Lonchura striata: one gene and its partners. The protein of the gene in region 2 interacts with the protein of the main gene of each other region in a biochemical or structural test. Links are inferred from orthologs where the notes say so. Each region holds a gene or a part of one and is shown on either strand. Other genes may lie near its edges.

The links.
Region 1: the proteins of AGO2 (region 2) and DICER1 form a complex in vitro, tested with the Homo sapiens proteins (2 studies listed by BioGRID and IntAct). The link is inferred for Lonchura striata from reciprocal best matches to the Homo sapiens genes AGO2 and DICER1.
Region 3: the proteins of AGO2 (region 2) and TNRC6B form a complex in vitro, tested with the Homo sapiens proteins (3 studies listed by BioGRID and IntAct, with this or other methods). The link is inferred for Lonchura striata from reciprocal best matches to the Homo sapiens genes AGO2 and TNRC6B.

Annotation. Positions count from the first base shown.
Region 1 is NC_134608.1:14,772,460-14,776,204, reverse strand, and holds the start of DICER1 (endoribonuclease Dicer), read right to left. Parts: upstream 2,380-3,745; 5' UTR 2,154-2,379; exon of another isoform or gene 2,118-2,153; intron 1,411-2,117; exon of another isoform or gene 1,282-1,410; intron 1,235-1,281; exon of another isoform or gene 1,058-1,234; intron 1-1,057. UniProt on the Homo sapiens protein: Double-stranded RNA (dsRNA) endoribonuclease playing a central role in short dsRNA-mediated post-transcriptional gene silencing.
Region 2 is NC_134603.1:5,035,958-5,039,702, reverse strand, and holds the start of AGO2 (protein argonaute-2), read right to left. Parts: upstream 2,317-3,745; 5' UTR 2,172-2,316; coding exon 2,141-2,171; intron 1-2,140.
Region 3 is NC_134607.1:24,509,667-24,513,411, forward strand, and holds the start of TNRC6B (trinucleotide repeat-containing gene 6B protein), read left to right. Parts: upstream 1-1,247; 5' UTR 1,248-1,488; intron 1,489-3,745.

The DNA of each region.
Region 1 (3,745 bases), on a different chromosome or scaffold from region 2:
GCACACAGTGTGGAAATAGACAATAAGAAAGACTCTCTTAAGAAAGGAACTCGGGAAAATAGTTATGAAATTACTTGCAGTTAGTGTCTGTATGAACTTGCTAAAACAAGCACCACCCCCACCTACAGAACATGCACATGCAGTCAGCATTTCAACAGAACATCCAGAGTGGCTTAAAGAAAACACATAAAACACAGGGCAAACTGAGTGTCTGCAAAGTTAACTGTTTTCATTACCACGTTAAGGGAAAGAAAACTGAAGACATACTTCCAACATACACACTTTCACCACTTGAGCCAACCACCTAACTTGAAGACCAAAATCTCAACATCAAAAATACTCAAAGCTGGTCTGAAGGGTCTGAAGTGCCAAACATCCTTCAGACTGTTAGCAGTTAACTGAGATTCACTATTCACTTTGAGACTCACTTTTACTGAACACTAATTTCTGGTTAAGCATAATGCACACAAAAAATACCTTTTTATTTTTTTGGTCAGATATCAGTATCGTCCCCCATTTTCTACTCATGCGAGCTACATCTATATTACCTAATACAACAAAAAAGCCCTGTGCAAAAATGTATGTCTTTCAACCTTTCACTTTTCAACACACGTTCACACAGTAAAAGGTCTGCCTTTAATCACGCTGCCTTAATTTGCCCTGGAAAAGGATGGAAAGGAAGCAAAGAAGAACCAAGACATTCTTATATCGCCTTTACCATCAGCAGTGCTGAGTTTCAACTCCTTTACTGCCTTCCCTGACAGGGCCGGGGGCCCGGAGCCCCCGGGAGGCGCCGCTCGCAGACAAAGCCGAGCGGGGCCGCGGCCCGGCCGTGCGGGCCCCGCCGGGGCAGCGGCCCAGGCCGACCGCGGGGCCCAGGAGGCCGCTGGGGCGGAGGCGGGGCAGCACCGCCCGGGCCCCGGGAGGGACGGAGGGAGGGAAGGCTGCCGCCATCCCTCCCCTCTGGCCGAGGCGCCGGGACCACGGGAGCTGCGGCCAGCGGGCGCGACACACCCGCGCTCGGCCGCCATGCAGCTCCCGGCGCGCCATCTCCTACCTGCTCGGACCGGACCCAGCCCGGCGCTTCCCCCTACTACAGGCCGCGTCTCATTGTGCTCCCGCCGCCGCCATTTCCCCGCCGCCGCCGCCGCCTCAGTCCCCGCAGCTGTCAGGTCCCTCCATTCACCTGGGCCCGGGACGGCCTCCCCCTCCCTCCCTTGCCCCTGAGCTACGGTCGGCGCTACGCAAACGGAGCGCCGCCCCCGCCCCTCCCGCCCGTACCAACGGGGGCTGCCCAGCGCCCGCGGCGCAACCCCGCTCCGAGAATTCCGCCCTGCGCAGTCCGCACGCTCTGCATCCCCCCACGCTATGAGAGGAGGCCGGCGATTGGCGGCCGCAGCCGGGTAAAAGGTGAAAGGTTCGCGAGGCGGCCAATGGCACGGCGGGACACAGCGCCTGCCGGAGAGCCTCGGGGCGCTCACGTGCGCGCGCGCTCCCTCGCTCCCCTCCCCCGCCGCGCGGCGGGCGGGTCTCGCGCGCTGGGGCGGGGGCGCGCCGAGGCGCTGAGGCGGGGGCGGCGCCCGCCATCTTGGGAAGGGGCGAGCGCCCGGCCTCGCTCCTTGTGCCGCTGCGCGTTGTGCAGTGACTGGTGATGGAGGCACGGAGCTGAGGGGATGGGCTTGTTCTATCGCAGGGGAAAAAGGTGATCCCTTTTGACAATGCCAAATGTCCCACCTTTCCACGCACAGCTGGCCATTTCTGTAAGAAGTCACTTTCCTGCCAAAGGCAAGGCTCTACTTTTCCACTGGGGAGCCTTTAGTCTTTTCTGGTGCAGGGCCCAGAAGGTGGAAGAAGAAGGGACAGCTGAAGGTAGATGGGTTTTGTGGACTCCCAAGGCAGCATCTCCTTCTGTCACTGCATGAGGCAGATTGTTGCCTGGCTGGAGCACTGGTCTCACTCCAGTACTTTGGCAACACTCCATTGATCTGGTAGATGTTAACTGCTAAATGTTTATAGAAGTGCCCTGAAATGTCTGGAATTAAACAGTTGGTGTAGGGTAAGGTTTTGTCACCACCAAAACCCTTCAGCCAGAGGTGAATGAGTTACATTTGTTTTAGGCCAGAGGACGGAGTGAGAGTCTCCTGCGATCTCACCTGCTTGCACAAGGACTGGATGGTGATCGGCCTTGGTGCCTGATAAAGATGACCATAAATGCCATGCCACTTCTGGCCAGCCACTGCCCTTGTAAGCTGAGTGGAAGGCAGTCTGTTTTCAATGGAAGATCTGTTTGCTGGACATCCTGCTTCCTCCTTCTGTCTGCTCTCTACCGGGGACTTGCCATGGTAACACAGTGTGCCTGCAAAATCAGTATGAAAAAGATAAAGCTGACTGGAGCACTCCTAAGATCCATTTAAAACAACCTGAATAAAATTACTTCAGATTCAAAGTGATCTAGAGGCCTGGGATATTATCAAATTAAGTATTTTCTTGGCACAAACCTCTGCTGCTGTTTAGAACAGAACTTCTGTAATGCCTGCCATTATGTTGTTAAGTGTTACAGTACTGGGTATTTTTATAGGATTGAAAGGGCATCCTTCTGTTTTTTTATGGATGGAAGAATAATTATATCCCATGACAAAAGCTGAGGAAGAAGAGCAGCTGTTCAGTCTTATCCAGTGGGAACTGTCAGAGCATATGGGTCTATTTTTCCAATTTTAGCTGAAGTAATGAAGGAAATTGGCATTCTTGATTCCTTCTAACATAAAATAGAGCAGAAAGAAACCCTCCTTAGTGCAGACCATGGTTAAAGAATGAAATTTATCCATTTCAAGTAGGTTCAAAGAGAAAGCAAGCAGAATACTTAGAAAACAAAATAGACAAATGCCAGGAGAATTCTGGAAGTTATTTTCTTATAAAATTGGGTGTCTTTCTCCACAGCTCATTCCTCTTTGAGCCTGCCTGCTGACAGGAGTTTTTGATTTAAAAGCACAGGATACAATCTGTGCTGTTCCTTACAATCTTGTCCCCACTACCCTCTCTCTATTATAAGAAAAAGATATTTGATGTCATATATTTGTGTAATTAGACCTAACCTTCAGAGTTTAACCCCAAATTAAAAATGTACTTTTATGTTGATTTCACAAATTCCTTACAAACATTTTTAAAGTGAGATGATCTCATCAGTGTGAGATGCAACTGAAATCTCCACATACTTCAAACTGGTTGGCATTCAGAGTTTGGTACAAAAACCACACAACCAACCATAAAAACAAAGCAAACAGGCTGTGGGATGAAAAGGACACACTACCCAACTATTAAAATCTGGAAAAGAATAAGTAACAATGTACCAAGTAACAGCATTCCCCATATCTTTAGTACTATAAATACTGATATTTACTTTATGGGGTAACTGTTGTTAGACAACAAGAAAATAGAGACATCGATCTCCCTTTTTAAAAAAATTAGGGATGAGTGGAGGCTTTTCTGGTTTTTTACATTGACTAAGATTAAAGAAAGATTCTGTTTGGGTTAGAAAAGAGGAAAACTGTCATTAAAGATCACTTTGTCACAAAGAATTGTCTTTGTTCCTGCTACAGAACTGTCCAATCACACTGGTGGAAACCAGGCATTTCAGCTCCAGGGTCTAAAATGGGCTCTGAAGAGGTTCCATCCTGTGCGACAATGGTGACCTCTGTTGTTCCCTGCTGTCGGTACCAGCCGCGATGTCTTCTGACCCCGTGTCACA
Region 2 (3,745 bases):
GGAGGCCAGCACCAGAGGCACCCTCCGACGGTCTCGCTGCAGAGCCCAGTTTGGACAGGGAGCTGGGAGAGCAAAGCCGCTCCTGCGCATCAGCGGCTCCGGCAGGGGATCCGGACAGAGCAGAGATGAATGGAGCCTTTCCCTGGTGTCAAGGATGTGCTGACAGACCTGGAGAGGCTGCAGCCCTCTGCTGTGTTCACAGCAGCTCTGGCTCGGTGAGGGGTTGTAAACCACACTTGTGCTCTCTCCTCCGAGCAGGATTTCACACACAGTGGGTTTGTAGTTCTCAGATTAACATGTGGCAGGGGACTTCACAGTCCCTGCTTCCAGGCTGGTTCACAGAACAGCCACGCTCTAATAAAAATCTCCAGGATGCCCTGCCTTGTGTGTGGAGTGGAGCAGGAAGCTGCCTGGGCTGCCAGAAGCCACTGAGCTGCTGAGGCTGTCCGTGGATGATTTCACAGGAAGGAAGCAGAGCCTCGCTCACCATGTGGAGAACAACTCGCAGCTCCCACCCCGGCACAGACACGGGGAAAGGGCTGAGCCACGCTGATAAACTCGGAAGTAAACAAGACACAAGATGAGCTCGGCTGGAGGCAGCAGAACAGCAGGAGCCCGAGACACACACCGGTGACAACCCACAGCCACCTAGAACTTGGTGAAAGTACAGCCGAGTCAGCAGCCCGAGGTTAAGACGTTGTTGTTCCAAGAAGGTGAAAACATTCCTTCACACCAAACGTGCATCCCTGACGGCAAACAGCAGCCACCAGCTGGGAGAACATTCCAAGTGAAAGGGAAAGTGGTAGGATCGAATAGAGAGTAAATAAAGATAAAGAGACTCCCACACATGAAACTACTCTCAGCCCATGTGCTGGTAATATTTTTAATTACCTGTCTCCTTAAGCACATTTTCAAACAAGATCACCACGAGGTGAACATAGCATCAGCCCGATGTTGAGGCACCATGAGCACCTGTAAACTGAAAGTGTACCTGTGCCTGAGCAAGGGAACCCGACACCAGAAACCACCAAAGGATTACACCTGTAGTTCTACAGTTATCGGTACTGAAATGTGAAATGTGCAATTGATGTTACACATGAAAGCAAGATCGTGAACACCAGTCTGGGGACACAGAGCTGTAGAGACCTGTCTGCCTGCTGTGCCCGGTGAGAAAGTAAAAACGGAGGATCTCTACTTCAAGAGGAAAATAATCATCCTGATTGTCTTTCCTAATTATTGCCCCTTCAGGAGAACCAAGTCAGAGGAAAAAAAGAAAAAAAAAAAAGCCAGCACCTAACAGTGGATCCCAAAATATAAATGCTTTTACCAAAGCGTCTGTAAGAGAAACACTAAAAGACATCTCAGTTACAGGTCCTGTACTTCCCTACACCAGTCCTTGCTAGATTATCCCTCTAACGGAAGAAATGTTTTGCAAAACAATTGAGAACAGTGGGATAAAATAAAGTTCCATTTATTCTGCAACTTTTCTACAAGAAAACTAGGTGCCAGTCACCCAAACACTATTGTTTCTACATAAGAATTCTCACCGCAGAAACAACCTAACACTAAAAAGGAGAAAACATTGTCTCATACGAACTGCACAAACTCGCACAGTATTAACCTGCATTTCCCCAAAGCGATACTAAACTCTCCCCGAGAGTTGCTAACCCTGCTTTGCACGTCCACCTTTCCTTTGCTCCCACGCAGAGCGAGCCTGAGGACACCTCACGCTGCCCCTCGCCTCCCCCAGCCCTCCCGGCATGCGGACGCTCCCCGACCTCCAGAGCACAACTATCGCAGCGCGGCCTCCGAGGAACACGCGGCCAGCCGGGAATCCCAGCATGGAGCCGGGAGAGAGGAAATGGAGACCCCGGTCCGCAGCGGGAGCTGCTCCGGCCTCGGGGCCCGGCGGAGGGAGGGGGAGCGGGGCAGGGAAGGCGACCCTCCCCTCAGAGGCGCCTCCGGACACGCGGCCCGGCCCGAGGCGGCGGCGGCGCCCTGACCCTCCTTCCTCCCCGGCCAGCGCGGCCGCCGCTCCAGCCAGGCCCGAGCCGGGGGGAGCGAGGCGCTCCCGGGGCTCCCCAGGGACACGGACCGGGAAAGCCGCTCCGGGGGGAAACAAACCCGGGCGAAAGCTCACCGGGTCCGGCGGAGGGGGCTCCCGGGTACATGTCTCCGTGTGTGCGGCGGCGGAGGCGGCGGCGGCTCCAGGGGAGGGCACGGGGGAGGGAGCGAGCCCGAGCCCCGGTTACGCTGTCGGGGGAAGGGGAGGAGGAGGAGGAAGGGGAGGGGGGAGGAAAAGAAAAGGGGAGAGGAGGAAAAAAAAAAAAAAAAAAAAAAAAAAAGAAAAAAAAAAAGAGGGAGGAGGAGGAGGGCCGGGAATCCAGGTTACTCGTCGGCACTGAGGAGCGGGGAGGGGAGGAGGAGGAGCCGCGGGTCACGGGGAAGGAGCGCTCCGCCCCCCGGCCGGGCGGGCGGGAACGGCCGCGGCAGCGGGACGGGATCGGAGCGGCGCCGAGCCGAGGGGCCCCGCTCCCCGCTGCGGCCCCCTGTCCCTGCCTGCAGCCCCGCTCCCCGCTGCGGCACCCTGTCCCCGCTGCAGCCCCGCTCCCTGCTGCAGACCCCTGTCCCTGCCTGCAGCCCCTTGTCCCAGCTGCAGCCCCTTATCCCAGCTGCAGCCCCTTGTCCCAGCTGCAGCCCCTTATCCCAGCTGCAGCCCCCTGTCCCTGCCTGCAGCCCCCTCTCCTCGCTGCAGCCCCTTGTCCCAGCTGCAGCCCCGCTCCCCGCTGCGGCACCCTGTCCCTGCCTGCAGCCCCTGTCCCTGCCTGCAGCCCCTGTCCCTGCCTGCAGCCCCTGTCCCTGCCTGCAGCCCCTTATCCCTGCTGCAGCCCCCTCTCCCCGCTGCAGCCCCCTGTCCCTGCCTGCAGCCCCTTGTCCCAGCTGCAGCCCCTTGTCCCCGCCGCAGCCCCCTGTCCCTGCCTGCAGCCCCCTGTCCCCGCCGCAGCCCCCTGTCCCCGCCTGCAGTCCCCGCCCGAGCTCTGCCCGCGGAGTCACAGCATCAGCCAGGCTGGAAAAGTTCTCGGAGATCACCGAGTCCAGCCTGTGACCGGACATCACCACGTCCACCGGACCAGAGCACGGAGTGCCATGTCCACTCTTTATCCTTAAACACTTCCAGGGATGGTGACTCCGCCACCACCCTGGGCAGCCCATTCCAATGTTTAATCACCCTTGCTGTGGAGAAGCTCCTCTTAATGCCCAGCCTAAACCTCCCCCGGCACAGTTTAAGACTATGTCCTGTCATCCTGTGGCTTTCAGTGAGACCTTGGAAAATGACTTTGTGCCTCTAGCACTTTCTCCGATACCTCTCCCTGTTACAAGTGTGAGAGGTATGCTGGAGTTGTATCAATAGTACACATACTGCTGGATCTTGAATTAAAATTAGATGTGTTTGTTTATATTCTTTTATTCCTCCTGTTGCTCTGAAAACCTCAGCTCAGTAACCTCATGGATTCCCACATCCACTTGTAGTCATATCTATGAAACCCAGCTGTGGTGGGGTTGCCTTATTGTCTTTGTCAACCTGATAATGTCTGGTACTGCACACATGTAATGTTTAGTACAACCAGATAATGTACTTGAGAAAACAAACTAGAAAGGATATGAAAGAGCCAAAGTGCTGATCAGTATGATACACTGAGACACTGGAGATATCCCTGGGGGAATTTCAAAGACATGGGTGTGG
Region 3 (3,745 bases), on a different chromosome or scaffold from region 2:
CCATTGTGTCCTTCCCATTCTGCGATCCAGCAGCGCTGGCCCACACGTGCTCTGCAGCCCAGGGCTGAGGCTGCTCATCCCGGCTTTCACTCCACCTCCCGGGGAAGCGTCCCGGGCCCGCTCCTGCCTCAGCCTCGCACCGACCCCCCCACACACACCCCGCAGTTTCTGACTCTGTCCACCCCACGAATAATGGAGACCAGCGCGTGTTTGTAACGATTACATTTAGTAATGACGCCGTGGTCACCCTAAATGCCTTTTCCACAAGTGCTCCCGGTCGCGGGCCCCCGTCACGTGCGCGGCTGCTCGGGCCACGTGGGATGCGGCAGGCACGCGCCGTCACCCCGCCCACCGTGCTCCTTCCACGGAGATTGGCAGTGGAAGCAACCAATCATAGGCAGGCTCTGCATTCCCCCACCCCCAGCCCACGGTTGCTGTGTCATCCGGCGGGTGACATGGGGGGGTGGTCGTCGGTTGGCTGCGCAGGCGTCGGCTATCGGCCAATGCATGACGCGAGCTGCATGACTGACACCTATCCTGCCCAATAGCTGTCGCGCGGGGGCGGGACGAAGCGGAGATGTCGCTGGGGGCGGCGGGCAGTGTGGCGTTGGTGCCGTGTCGCGGCGCCGCTGAGCAGCTGCAGCCGCAGCCGTACGCGCTATCGCCTGTGGCCGTCACGGCGCCCCGCACATGAGTGCACAAACTGACGAAACCTCGCCTCGGCTGAGGAGGGTTCCAGCGACAGCCGCGGAGCGCGGCTCGGTGGGCGGGTCTTCGAGCCGTTACGGTGTAACGGGCACATTACTTCTCTGCTGGAGTCGGAGCGTGCGAGCCACAACCCAATCCGTAGGGCGGAAGGGCGGGACAAGTAGAAGCGGGCGAGCGAGTGCCCCATTTAAGGGGCAAATCTCGCAGCTAACTGGCAGAGGAAGAAGGGGCGGGAGCCAGTGAGAGATGTGAAGGGGGGCAACGCTAACCACTGACAGCCAGCAAATGCAGCCAATCAGTGAGCGTGTAGTGACGCGAGAACCCAATCAAAAGGGCCCGGGGGCGTTGCTCCTCTGTGATTGATGTGCGTCCTGGCTAATGGACGGAGAGATTCCCGAGACTCTTCCCAATGGGCAGCGTGAAGGGGCGGAAAGGGGAGCGGAAGGAGAAGACGAGCGGGTAGAACGACCAATCAGCGTGGGGGTCGGCGGGGCGCCGTCCAATGGGCGGTGCGAGGGGCGGTTCGGGGGCGTGTCCCGGTGTGTTTGGGTTCGTGCTCCTCGGGGGAGGGAGAGACGGCGGCGAGGAAAGTTTGGTTTTGGTTTTTTTTTTTCCCCCCCCGGTGGTGTTTTTTCGGCGGCGCCGGCGGAGCGGGGGGGGGTACGCTTTTCGCAGCTTCTTCGCCTTTTGCTTCCTGGGGTCCGTGTTTCCCGGGCGGGTGGAGCCGCCCCCGGCACTGAGAAGAACGGGGGCTCAGCGCACCGCGGCGGCGCCTCGGCGGTGAGTACGGGACGGGCGCCCCACCTCTTCCTCATCCCAGCTCCCGCCGTGGGACTCCCTGCGAGCCCTTCCCGCCCTGCGGACCCTCGCGCCGCCGCTGAGGGGCCTCTGGCGCCGGGCCGCGGTGCCGCGGGGCGGGGGAGGGACGGGGGGGCCGGGCCGGCGGGAGGGGCCCCGAGCGGCGGCGGCTCAAGGGCGCTGCCCCGGCGGCGGCGGAGCGGCCGCTGCTCCCGCCCCGAGCCCGCCGAGCGCCTGTCCCGGGGCGCAGCCGGGCGAGCGCTGCCCCCTCCTCGCCTCACGTGCGGCCGCTGTTCGCCGCGGCTGCGCCCCGGTGTCCCCCACCGCCCCCTCCTGCTCCGCACTGGGCCCCGGGGAAGAGCCGCCCTCCCGCCGGATCGCCCAGGCCGGGCAGGACGGAAACACTCCGAGGAGCCCTTGTGTGGATGGGGAATAAAAGTGCTTTAGTGTGGGGACGGAGCTGAGGTTGCGTTGGTACCGCTGCAAACCGCGCTGGATGAGTGGAACGTGATGCTGACTAAAATGTGTGTGTGTCTGTGTGCGTGTATGTGTGATGGTGGGTGGGAAGAGTGACCGTGTTCAGAGGTGTGTCCTTGAGGGGGAAAAAGTTTCCCCAGCTGTTTGTAGCAAAATGAGGGAATGTTTGTTTCTGGAGACACTTCGCTGCCTGTGGATAAGCGCTGCTTGCAGCGTGGTATCTTGAAAGCTCAGATCCGCTTTATGAAAGTGTATGTAGGAGGGATCTACTACAGCATACAGCTGAGGCTTGTTGAATAAACCGAAGACTCCACAAAGTGTTTTCCTAGCTAAAGTAGAGATGCTTACTAATGTAAACAGTACTTGTTTTTCCATGGTAACGTTTCACTAACTTCATGAACATTTATTAAAATACCTCTTTGTAAAGTTAACTTTTTTTTTTTTGTTTTTACAATCCATTAATTACTATTTTTAAATCATGATTTGCTGTAGTTCAGTTTACAACCGCTGCAAAAGGTACGACGTTGTCGCTGACGTCAACAAACGTTGTCACGTTTACAACCTCTACAAAAAATGTGACTTTTTGTGCAAAATAGTGGGTCGTTCTTTGGGGGGTTTACAGCTCTGTATTTGAAAGGTCTGTTTCTAGTGTTTTCTAGTAATATCGCTGTCCATATGAGTGGATTTTGGAAATTAGTTCCTGCTACAAATGTTGTAGAGGTGATAACTTAGGTTTATAGGGTTATTAAATATGTGCACAAGTTCAAGCAGCTGTGTAGTTAGCTTGTCCACAGTGAAATTGCTCAGCAATGCCCTCCTCTCCTGTGGTGACTCTCTAAGGGTGCAGATTCCTTGGAATGCGCGCTGTTGAAATGTGAGTGAATGCTCTCATCTGCTGCATTACCCAAGGCCCCGAGCTAAAAGTTCCAGTTTTTCTTCAGAAACCGTGGATAGTGCACGGTCTGCTGGGTCGATGTATCTCGGGGGAGGGGTTTGCAGGAGTGACTTTTCACCTGAGTTTTGCTGAGTTGCAGATGTAACTAGACAATTCCTCAGCGAAGAAATCGCCCTGCAAAAAGTTGGGGCTGGAGATGGGGGAAGGGAGCCCAGAGAGATGTTAGCTGTGTGTTAGATTTTCACCTGTGGGGTTTTGGGGCAGTAAGACACAGGCACATCTGTCTTGGTAGAGAGTAGGTGAAGTCATCATTAGACATTTATCTTGTTTAGCTATACTGCATTTGTGCTGATGGGCAAAATGTTTTTGGGATACTTACAGGGAATCACGTAAATCCTGTAATATGGAAGTACTGGTAAAAATGTAACGATAAACCAGTCAGTGTCTTCTTGATTAGGTAGACTTTTGAATTAATGCACTATTCCAGTTTCTGTATACCTGCAAATTTAGCTAGAGATCTACACTTTCATTTAAATAATAAGTTCAAACATTTGAACATAGAAGTCTTGAAAAAGCTTAATGTGCCAGAGTTTGTGTGATTGACTAGTCCAATAAAACATTTAGGTTGAGTGTGTGTCATGGCTTTGCTTGGTGATGCTTATTTCATCGTTAAAACTTGATGTTGGAGGAAGCTTTAGGAGAGAATTTTGTGTAGCTCTGAGGTATTGTATTTTACCTTAGATCTGCCTCCTATAATAGCAAGTAAGAAATTAGAAATTCTTTTTTTTGCAGAAGTAATGTATAATAAAAATCATACGTAGGTAGAGATGGCTGCATCCTGAACAGTGGGATGAATAGCTGCAGCCA